Linked DNA regions of Sus scrofa. The protein of the gene in region 2 interacts with the protein of the main gene of each other region in a biochemical or structural test. Links are inferred from orthologs where the notes say so. Each region holds a gene or a part of one and is shown on either strand. Other genes may lie near its edges.

What was found. The genes of interacting proteins can lie anywhere in the genome.
Region 1: the proteins of NUFIP2 (region 2) and FMR1 form a complex in vitro, tested with the Homo sapiens proteins (2 studies listed by BioGRID and IntAct, with this or other methods). The link is inferred for Sus scrofa from reciprocal best matches to the Homo sapiens genes NUFIP2 and FMR1.

Annotation. Positions count from the first base shown.
Region 1 is NC_010461.5:120,377,114-120,382,972, forward strand, and holds part of FMR1 (synaptic functional regulator FMR1), read left to right. Parts: intron 1-1,315; coding exon 1,316-1,387; intron 1,388-1,664; coding exon 1,665-1,813; intron 1,814-2,865; coding exon 2,866-2,959; intron 2,960-3,044; coding exon 3,045-3,161; intron 3,162-5,386; coding exon 5,387-5,557; intron 5,558-5,657; coding exon 5,658-5,736; intron 5,737-5,859.
Region 2 is NC_010454.4:45,495,228-45,501,086, forward strand, and holds part of NUFIP2 (nuclear fragile X mental retardation-interacting protein 2), read right to left. Parts: intron 5,549-5,859; coding exon 3,818-5,548; intron 1-3,817. UniProt on the Homo sapiens protein: Binds RNA.

The DNA.
Region 1 (5,859 bases), on a different chromosome or scaffold from region 2:
ACTGAGTCAGGTGGCAAACCAGTGAGATGCTGTTGCTACAGTGACCTCACTAATGGTTAACACATAACTGAGGTTATCACTGGCTAGAGCAGAGCTGAAAGGAATTGATGATTACAGGAGAGAAATGTAGGTTAAGTCTAGTTGTATTTAGTCACTGTATTGCATAACCATTACCCTTAGGTCTTTGGGTCTGTCTGTACCAGGAATGTTCATGATAGTGATGGATAAAGGGGACTTCCCCCCCAACTTTAGTCACGTGACAGATGGGACCCAATGAAACGCTCTTGCCAGGATGACCTCATTGCATTACATAACAATTAACAAATAACGGAGATTATTTCTATGGCTAGAGCAGAGGTGTACAGAAGTGGTGGGAGCAAGAGGGAAAGGTAGGTCAAGTTAAGTTGTATTTTGTCACCACACTGTCTAACTATTGGCTTCAGTAGTAAAAGCGAGATGGGAGTTGGAGCCTTGAGTGATTTGCCTTCTTTCCTGTCCTCTCCTCCCCGTCCGCCTTGCTCTCCCTCCGTCTTCTTTCTGCTTCTGAGTATGTGTCTGTCTCTCCGTCTGCTTCTGAGTATCTGTGTTGTCTCTTTTCCTGTTACCTTTGATTTGCCAATATCTCACAAAAGGTTCCATGCTGCACACTTTGAAGGGGTCGCCAGAGGCATCACTTTAGAAGAACTGATCCACAGTGTGTAGGGCAGGAAGGTGGTATCCGAAGGCTTGCCAGCGTGAAGTTGTCCATTTCAGTGAGGAGGGGACAGGAGACCAGAGAGTGACCAAGGATTTATCTGTTTAGTTCCCAGGAGACGGAAATGCCAGAGTGGTATTCTTAATGGGCTGGGTAGTCAGTGGCCTTAGCCATTAGTGACCATGCAGTCAGGCAGTAGGCTGGGGACAGTGACTTCCAGTCTGTTATGTGCTTATTAGAGTAAAACAAAAACAAGTTTGTCTACATTTTTAAGATACATTTTCATAGCTCACAAGGTATCCAAGGAAAGTATGCACAGGTTTAGGAATGGTCAGCTTTTCTTGAGCATTCGTATTCAGAGTACTGACCGTCACTGAGGTAGCACAGAGAAATAGGAAAGCACTTTTTACAGGCCTCTCCCCGGTAATCAGGGAGTTTCTGAGTGTGTGTGTGTCTGTCTGTCTGTCTAGAAGTACGGGTGCATTCTGCTTTAAAGTATAGAGCATGTGGGTTTGGAAGATACCTAAGGTCATTTTAAGAAATTTTCCTTGATGTCTGATAATTTGTAGATTTTTGAATGATGTTAATCATGAAATATTCTATGTTGTAATTTTTGTGTAGGTTTATTCCAGAGCAAATGAAAAAGAGCCTTGCTGTTGGTGGTTAGCTAAAGTGAGGATGATAAAGGGTGAGGTAGGAAAATGCCTATTTAAATTCTTTTTCATATGCTATTTCTCTTTTCTAAAGCCAGGTATACTGCATTTCAGTCTGGATTTCTATGTTTAAGTAACATCTTACTTGAGTCATTTTATTAAAATGATTACATGTTTAGTCCATTTGATGTATTGCATTTAGGTGATCAGTTTTTTTTTCCCCCCTCTGGAGAATTTAGAAATAATGAAATAGGTATAGCTTCTTATTCTTACTTTAAGCGCTATGACCAGGAATGACTTGCACTTATTTCTCTCAGTTTTACGTGATAGAATATGCAGCATGTGACGCTACATACAATGAAATTGTCACAATTGAACGTTTACGATCGGTTAATCCCAACAAACCTGCCACAAAAGATACTTTCCATAAAATCAAACTGGATGTGCCCGAAGATTTACGACAAATGTAAGTTGGCTGAGAACTTAAAGATGCTATGCAATTTATTTAAAAAATATTATTTTAAAACAATAGCAAATAAATTTGTAAATTCAATGGAACTTTGGCAAAATGGTTTGCGAAAATAGTGGGGGGAAAAAACGTATTTAGCTTTTTCCAGTTATGTGATCAAGCCAGCATTCCACCTATTTAAACTTCCTTGGCTAGATCCATGGCTAATGTACCTTTGTTTTCTAAAATAAGCATTGTTCATAGAATTTTAAGATTTTAGAACTGATTAATACAGATATTGTATCCTAAGTCACCAATCAATTTCTGGACAGTGGAGCTTCCTCCATATTTCTTCCCCTTTAGCTAGTATTTTCAGATAAATATGTAACAAGTAGAGCTAAAGCAGATTTAAAAGGTCATCTGTCTTATAATCCTTGAACTGAAATAATGCGTAAAGACGTTTTGGAGCAGAAATTCCTTTATAAAGATTTCGTCAAGAGCTTGTATTAAGTTTGATTTGGACATGTCACCGTTTAGAGAAATATTACATAGAAATCCTGCTTCTTAATTATAGAGATTGCGTATGTATGTTTGTGCCTTCTGATTTATATCCATGTCCTTTTCTCTCCCTTAAATCGGTCAGCAGTTTTTCATTAGATGAGAAACAACAAAACAAAATTGGGTGCCCTGTAGCTATCCCCAAAAGTTCTCAGCATTGCCTCAAGAAAATTAGTGACCTACCTGTTACTGAATCAGGAAGCCTGCAGAGGAGAGTGGCCACCCCCCAGAGCTGTCACCTTTGGTAACCTAAGACCATCACCAGTAATCCCTTAAGAACAGAAATGGTTTTTTCCTTTCTCTATAATCTATATTGCTTGTTTGGGCTGAGTATTTCAGAGAGGTACAGCAAAAGAACTCAACTTTTACATGTGGATATAGCGTATTTTGCATTAATCAAGTTTAGTAAGAGTCAACAGTTTTACTTGGAGCAAATGTCTCTGTGTATATTTGTACCAGTAGTTGGTAATCATTCATCTTAACTTCACAATGGATGTTCTTTTTATTCCTAGGTGTGCCAAAGAATCGGCACATAAGGACTTTAAAAAGGCAGTTGGTGCCTTTTCTGTAACTTATGATCCAGAAGGTTATCAGCTCGTCATTTTGGTGAGTGTTTTTGAGTGGTCTACCTCGGTGTATTTCATTTAGGGCATTTGCTTTGATAGTGATGGTATTGATTTATACCCTTTAGTCTATCAATGAAGTGACCTCGAAGCGAGCACACATGTTGATTGACATGCACTTTCGGAGTCTGCGCACTAAGCTGTCTCTGATACTGAGAAATGAAGAAGCCAGTAAGCAGCTAGAGGTATGTGGCTTTCCCTAGTGCTACTTGTAAGACTATCTGGAAGTGATAACTGTGTGGTTATAAAACTTGAATGTGGGCAGCTTGTCCTTTATTTACTGTTTCTTAGCAATTCATTATATTCTGTATTTTGAAAAATTAAATTGTACAAAGCATAATCATACTAAAGTTTTGTGCCTGAGGTTTCAGAATTAGCAGCAGTTTATGTATGTTAAGGAACTTCTGGCCAACTCACTTTTTACCAGAAGTTCATCAATGCTGCTAATAAAATGAAGCAGTGCTTCTTCCGTAAAACATGTTATCATTAAAGTACTAGAGAGTATTTAAATATCTAATCATATTCCTTTCATTATGTATGTTTATCTCTGTTTAAAAGGGTATAGAACTTCTTCATTCTAATTGGTTGTCACTCTTTAAAACTCCTGTCTTCAGATTCCTGCCAGAGGCTATTTCCCTAACTTACTATTTCGTCTCTTAAGGTGCATTTTATCTACTTTTATTAATCCTCCAATAATTTCCATCACCATACATTTATTTTCATTGATAACTATTTAGTACTTCCATCCATTGCCGTAGAAATTAAATGGATTTTAGTTTAATGTGCCAACACAAGTATATTGCTCTCGGATTCCGGAGTTCTTCATCATTATTCATTTCATTAGAGGGAAAACACCATGCAGTTGAAATAGTAAAGGAGAAAAGGAGTTCCTTCCCAACTGAATTTTAAAAAGAAAAGGTGACCTACTACTAAGGGCTGTATTTTTGTAAAACCCTGTGAAACTTGCCACCTTCCAACTTAATATGTGATTGCTGAACTCTCAGCAGGAGAGGAGACATTCACATCTCCTTTTGCTATATCTCCTTTTGCTCCTTTGTTTTCTTTATGACCATGGAGGTCTGTTGAATTGGTTTTTACTCTCATTCTTTCTTGATGTCCCTGTGTTCACCAGTTTGTGGTTTCTTTAGTGATTCTCTCATAACTTTTTAGGCCAGAACAGCCTCCTTACTTTCATTGTGAGTATTATGGAAATATACTCATTTACCTCTTTTTGAACATCTAATGCTGCTTAAATCTGTTAACGTACCCTTGGCTTATCATTGACCAGTGAATTATCAATGAAAAGAATGAACCAGGTCTCAAAAAACACGACCTCTTGATAAGTCTCAGGAATATTTGATACATTTTGTTTCTCTAATCTGCAAAAAAGGTATTATACTTTTAAAATTGTTTACAGTAGTTACACTCATTCATTCAAATTATCAGGTATGTTAATGAGAAACTAGTGTGCATGCCTCTCTTTCGTCACTACTAATATTAAAGAGATCTGCATATTCAGAAAAGAAATTTCCATTTTTCAACATGAGCCACTAATATGTTTGGTTTTCATTAATGGCATGCTAGAACTAAACATTAAATTTTGATAATACTGTTTAAAGAGCGTGATTATCCACAAGTTTGAGGTGTTAGTATAACCTAGTTCAGTCATTGCTGAATATTTGAAAGAATTCATCATACTTGTGGATCCAGATCACGAGGTCTTACAGACTCTGATCTCATTTTAGGTTGTAGACACATATGTAAGTTGTAAATCTTTGGCACTCTGTAATCACTCAGTTTAATTACTGTAGCAGTAATTTTTCTGATTTCTTTACTTGGGTTGGGGGTGGGAGGGAGGGTGTGTTTTTAATGTTATCACCTCGTTAGAGAGATGTCTAGACCACGGTATCTAGTGATAAAAGTTATGTAAAGGGCACTGTTTCTAGGGGAAAATATATACACACATGCACCTGCATATCCTTTAATAAAAATGAAATGAATACAACTTTCTGTAAAGATGGTATTTAACATTTCTTTAACTTCATTAATATGGAGTCTGTCAGACCCAGTGAGCTGGTTGTTATTTGGGAACATTTGATCTGCTTCTTAATTATTACATTGATGTCATTGGTAAACTAAGGCAACCTTGCAAATAGGTTTTCAGAAGTTACCTTGGAAAATTGTCAACAAGCCCTTTCCTATTAACAAAAATATATCAAATGGCATAGACCTTCAGTAACCTAAAAAGTATTGCTGTTGTGTGAAATATTTTCTGAGACCTGTTAGTTTCCAACTGAAACTAATTATAGGCCCCTGATCTACAGGGTCAAGATCATTTACATGGCTGACCTAAATACAGTTGTCTTAGGAGTTGATAAAGCATACTAATCAGATGTGCATTTCTCTTCAGAGTTCAAGGCAACTTGCCTCAAGGTTTCATGAACAGTTTATCGTACGAGAAGATCTGATGGGTCTAGCTATTGGTACTCATGGTGCTAATATTCAGCAAGCTAGGAAGGTACCTGGGGTCACTGCTATCGATCTCGATGAAGATACCTGCACGTTTCATATTTATGGAGAGGTAAATAGTTTACTAACTAAATAGTTTTTTTTTTTTCCTAAAAAGAAAACAGGATTTCAGATGGTTCATCTTTTGTTGCTTTAAATCTTTTAACTGTTAGGATCAGGATGCAGTGAAAAAGGCTCGAAGCTTTCTTGAATTTGCCGAAGATGTCATACAAGTTCCAAGGAACTTAGTAGGTGAGTCAGAGATCGATATTGACACGCACTGCAAAACAAGTTAGATAAACAGCTTATTCATACTGATAGAATTCCATTTTCACTCACTTGTGGAGTCTTTAGCTGAAGCTTAATCTTTGAAAT
Region 2 (5,859 bases):
ATATCAAATGATTTAATGAATACTTCAAAATGTCAGCATTTTGAATGCCCTATATTCTTTAGTGCAATATTAGCCAGGCAAGATAAATTAACTGGCTTAAATTAATACTTTAACCAAACACACAACTCACACCAATTTTACTTCAAAAGATGTGGCTTCAAATGACTTTGGACCACTTCAAAATCAAAAACATCACCTTAGAAAATTATGATCTAGTGTTCTAAGACTAAGACAACAAATCGAAGTTCTACTAACTATGCATTGTGAATAATTACTCTGAAAGTGACAAGGGTTACGTCCTGGGTATGTACATTAAAAGCCATCACTGTAACGTAACCCAAAGTATCAGCCAGTAAAATGTTATGATACCTAGAATCTGCTTTTTAAAACTCCAAAGTGTATGAAAGTGGATAAATCAAAAAAATGACAATTTTGTTGTTGTGGGGTTTTTTTGGTCACACTCTCTGCTTGCAGAAGTTTCCCATGACTGGGATCACACCGGAGCCAGAGCTGTAATCAGTGCCACAGCAGTGACAATACCACCTTAAACCACTGAGCCAAAAGGGAACTCTCATGAAGATATGTTTTTTTAAAATGTTCAAGCCAGATGATGGGTCCATTATGTTATTTGGCTCCATTTTTATATATACATATATTTATACTCCTACATACTTAAGTTTTCCATAATTAATTTTGAAAGATTACTTTAAAAGTTTTTACCTCAGTGTCAAGAGGTAAATAGGAAAAGAGGACCTCTTACCTTAAATACTGATACAGTTATGTAATGGTACAATATTCCCCCAGAAAACACAAAATTAGAGCTCCTGTTGTGGCTCAGTGGTTAACGAATCCGACTAAAAACCATGAGGTTGCAGGTTGATCCCTGGCCTGCTCAGTGGGTTAAGGATCCCGAGTTGCTGTGGATCTGGTGTAGGCCGGCAGCTACAGCTCCTATTAGACCCCTAGCCTGGGAACCTTCATATGCCTCAGGAATAGCCCTATAAAAGGCAAAAAGACAAAAAAAAAAAAAAAAAAAAAAGAAAGAAAAAGAAAAAAGAAAACACAAAAATTAGGTCTTACTTCTTTTTTTGTGTGTGCTTTTTAGGGCCACACTTGTGGCATAGAGAAGTCCCAGGCCACGGGTTGAATTGGAACTGTAGCTGCCAGCCTGTGCCACAGCAACACTAGATGTGAGCCGTGCCTGCAACCTACACCACAGATCACGGCAACACAAGATCCTTAACCCACTGAGCAAGGCAAGGGATCAAACCCACATACATCCTCATGGATACCAGTCAGATTCGTTACTGGTGAGCCACAACTGCACTTACTTCTTAATAAAAGTTAGTGGCATATTTATATCAAAAGTTGTAAAAGAAAATCCCCAAAACAAGAATTCCCATCAGTTTTTTTTTAATGCCTCACTGTATCTTCATTTCTTATCAAGTAAACTGAATTCAAATTTTTTTAAATCTGCTGTAATGTTTAAGGCTGCAAGTAATTAATGTTTCATCTAAAAAATGTACCATTACTATTAAACTGACATAATGCATAAATAAAGTTGCTAAACAGCTCATTTTCGAAGTCAGCAAGTATGCACAGAACTTTCCATTCTAAGCCTAACTTCATTCAACTTACTAAGAAATTACTTTAAACATTTAAAGACCACACTAAGCCACCAACAAAAAAATACGAGGTGTTCTTTTAAAGGATATTCCAATAATTCCTATTGGTTATTACCTTTTAGCACCTAAGAAAACTTAAAAAAAAAAAGAGGCAAGCCTTCGTTGAAGAAAAAGATCTTTCTATCCTCAAAAGACTATGACTCAAAGCAAATTTAAATAAAGGAAAAATTAGTGACCTAATGGACCAATCTACATTCAGCAGGAATTCAAAGAACTGCCACTCTGGGACCTAACTGAACTATTATTTGTTTTTGTTCTAGGGAGGAAAAAACAAACAATACCAATTTCATCCCAGTAATGTTCAACTACACAACTCAACGTGATAAGACTTTACTAAAGCAAATCTTTCAGTAACATCAGCAAAACTAAACACAACTGCATCTAGGTAGGGGCATTTGGTTTAACTAAATACCACTGATTTATTTTATATTTAGTTAGCTTACCAACAGGGCAAATGCATACAGAATACTTGAAGATAAATAGGAATGTCCCATTTAAAAAGACCTGCATTTCTCCATAATAATCACACATTAAACCACCAACCAAGAACCTAGTAACAACTTGCCCCAGGATTTTTCCAGGTTGTGGGACAACCAGATATCCTCAGGCTCAGGCAACCATCACCAGTATAACATACTTTAATAAAGTATAATGATCTCTGGAGGGAAGATGGCACAGAAAGTAACATCAAAAACACTATAAACTTCCCCTGACAGAACTTAACTTTTAATTAAGCAATGTCTTAAGAAACTTAAGTATTTTTTTACTCTAACTCTCCTAAAAGTATCTGGCTCCTGGTTAACTCACATTTACTTCCAAAGAGCAGTGCTGGAGAAAAGTAAAAACAAACCCGAGCCACAGCAGTGACCATGCTAGATCCTTAACCTGCTGCACCACCAGGGAACTCCTTTACTCCCATTTTTTAAAGCAAAAAAATTTAAAGGGTTATCTATTTTACTAAACATCTTAGTCTGCAGATAAACAAAGGTATGGAGACCAGGTAATTTGCTTAAATCACAGGAATTGCTTTGTTATTCATCTATGAGACAGTGATTCTTCCAGGGAAAACATAATTACCTCATCTCTACTATCTGATAACATGCTGCCTCTTCCCTGCAGTTGCGTATCACTGCCTGAGCTGTTGCTAAAAAAGCGATATATACGTGCACTATATGTTAGGTGTGCATGCATGCACACATATGGAGCTGTTAGGGGAGGTTGGGGAGACTGAGAAGGAAAACTGATAACCACTGTTCTTGAAAGTGAAGAGGTGCTTGTAAAATCATGTCAACATTCATGACACAAAAAAACATTGTTTTAAAGGATTTAAACTAGTTATGCCATACAGCAAGTTTTTAAGACTTGAATAAATCGTATCCTAAGAAAGCTATTAACATGGAATTTTAAAGACATCAAATTCCTTTTTTTTTTTTTTTTTGCTTTTTAGGACCACACTCACAGCGTATGAAGGTTCCCAGGCTAGGGGTCTAATCAGAGCTATGGCTGCAGGCCTACACCACAGCAATGCCAGATCTGAGCCACGTCTGCAACCTACACCACAGCTCATGGCAATGCCTAATCCTTAACCCACTGAGCAAGGCCAGGGATCGAACCTGCAACCTCATGGTTCCTAGTCAGATTATTTCCACTGTGCCAGGATAGGAACTCCTATCCAATTCCTTTTTAATGCTGGCTTTGAGGCTATGAAAAAAAGTGCAGACTCCAAAAGCCTGGTCCCTACAATGCTAATTGTACTTGCCATTGTAGTTTGATTAAATAAGAGAAAAAAAATCGACCCGCCATCTCTTTGGACTCCTCTAAAATACTGCTCTTGCTCGTTTTAAGGAAATGAGAACTATCAAAGTGAGCTCTCTAATAAAGAAGTATATAGTATAAAAAGCAAAGGAGAGGGAACATCTGTTTCAAGAAAAAATTTATACTTTTACCATAGTATTTACAAAGACCCGGAGCTTAGAGTTTGGTATCAGCTGCTAATCCACATTGTTATTCTCAACTAAACTATGGAATTCTTAAGCTCATCATAACTTCAAAAATTCACCCTTAATAGAACAGCCAATAAATGTATGTTAAAATAATCAGTAAGAATCTTCGTATAGAAACAGATGAGTTACCTTTAGTGTGATATACAATAGCAGCCCTCAGGTCAAAAGAACCCCAGCTATCATTCCTTTCTAGGCCTCTCTGGTATCTCTGTTCTTTGGCGGAGCCTAACAAAGTGTTCGTAGGAGACGCCAGAGGATTTTGATTTTCTATCTCATAGTCCTTTGAGAGAAACACTAAAGCACCTTGACTACTGGTGTCTGCTTTTTGCAGGTCACCTATATGACTGGGTTCCAAGGATAAGGCTCCACTCTCACTAGTAGTCCCAGATTTTAGAATGCTACCCAGAACTTGAGGACTAGTCCGTTTTTCCAGCTCATAAGCCTTGGGAAACACAGGATGCTCAGTTCCTGAGGGGATTATTTCAGCACCCTGTGAAACCAAAGTGGCAGGATATTCCCCTTGAAATGTCACCTCCATCACTTTATGATCTGATGATTTCCCAATAACAGTCTCAGGGCCAGCACTGGGCTCATTGATAAATGATAAACCCCATTGATTCTGGAAGATATCCCCCAGGTTTTGCTGATCTGTCTGAGAGGGTAGATCCACTTGTGCTGTGCTCAACAGCACAGTTTGCATATTTGAAGGGTAGATAAAAAGGCTGGACTTAATTTGTTCAACAGCTGCTGAAGTCAGACTCATGTCTTGGAGAACTGAATCAGCCCCAGAGGAGATGGGTGCTAGAGTATTAGCAGCAGTAGTTAGCAGTGGCTGACCCCCTGGAGAATATACACTTGCATCAGTCCCTGCTAAAACTGGCCCATTAGAAAAGTTGGCCGAAGTAACAGATTTCAGCGCTGACATAGGGACCTGGGATAATCGACTTGAAGGTTGGGTCTGAGTTTCCCCAGCTGATGACGAAGAAGATGAAGATGAAGATGAAGATGGTGACACGGAAGAGTTCTGTACAGTTTTGTTGAGGTTTTCCTTAACTTTGCTTGCATAACTTATTTTAGGAACTATTTTAGCACTGCTATTGTCCACTGGAAAAACTGGGGGTGGTTTAAATAGGGTCCACGAGTCCTCTTTGGAGGCAACAGCAGAAGTATGCTTTCCTTTGGGCCGATCATCAAACTTTTTGCTGCTCACACCAGGTTTAGTATCAGAGCTTTTCCTCAGCATATCACCCATAGCAGGTTTTCCTCGACTTGTTCCTCCAGGCCCAGTTTCATACTTCCAAATGGGCTTTGAACCATCTACTCGATTTCCCTTTTGTTCACTGTAGTCAGGCTTGAAAGTTTCAAGTCCCTGTTTTAAGGTTGGGACATTGGTCTCTTGTTGCATTATTTTGTCCTGCACTAAATTAAGGTTTTCACAACCCTTGGCACTATTGCGCCTAGCTTTCCTTTTTTTAGGAGTGGTATATCCGCTCTCAGATCCACTACCATCATTATCTGCTCCTTTGCCCATATAACCATTAGTAATATAGCCAGAATTATTTGTTACAACACCATTTGGAATTGCTACAGCATCAGTCTTGTCTACAGATTGGTTCTCTCCAGATTTATTTTCATAAGACTTTCCATTCTTTTTGTCCATACTGTTTTTCTGAATGAAATTCCTGGTTTTAATTCCTGCTTTCCCAAAGGTGCTGGACCTTACAGTCTGCTTCAGGTTAGTGTCTACAACTTGTTGGTTGCCATTGAGTACCCTGGAAATAGGGTTGGTAGCTTCATCAGAACCCAGGCTCTTTAAAGAAATTTCTCTTTCTCCAGCATTACCATTTAGTTCACCATAGCCTAGAGAGGGGGGGAAAAAAAGGTTTTTAAAGAATTATAATATGTAAATTACAATAGTACCTAACATTTAGTATGTGCTAGACACTATGCTTTGAGCTTCAGCTTTATATGTCATTATTTCATAATTCTATGAGAAGACACTTGTCAGCTCCATTTCACAGATGAGGACGTTTACTAATAAGCAAGAGACAAAACACAGGTGGGAATCAAACCCGAGTCCCAGATCAGAAAGAACATGACCGCTTAAGCATAATACCTCTCGCCGAACAGGATCAACCTTCTCATTCTTATAAGGCTGCTATAAAATTTCC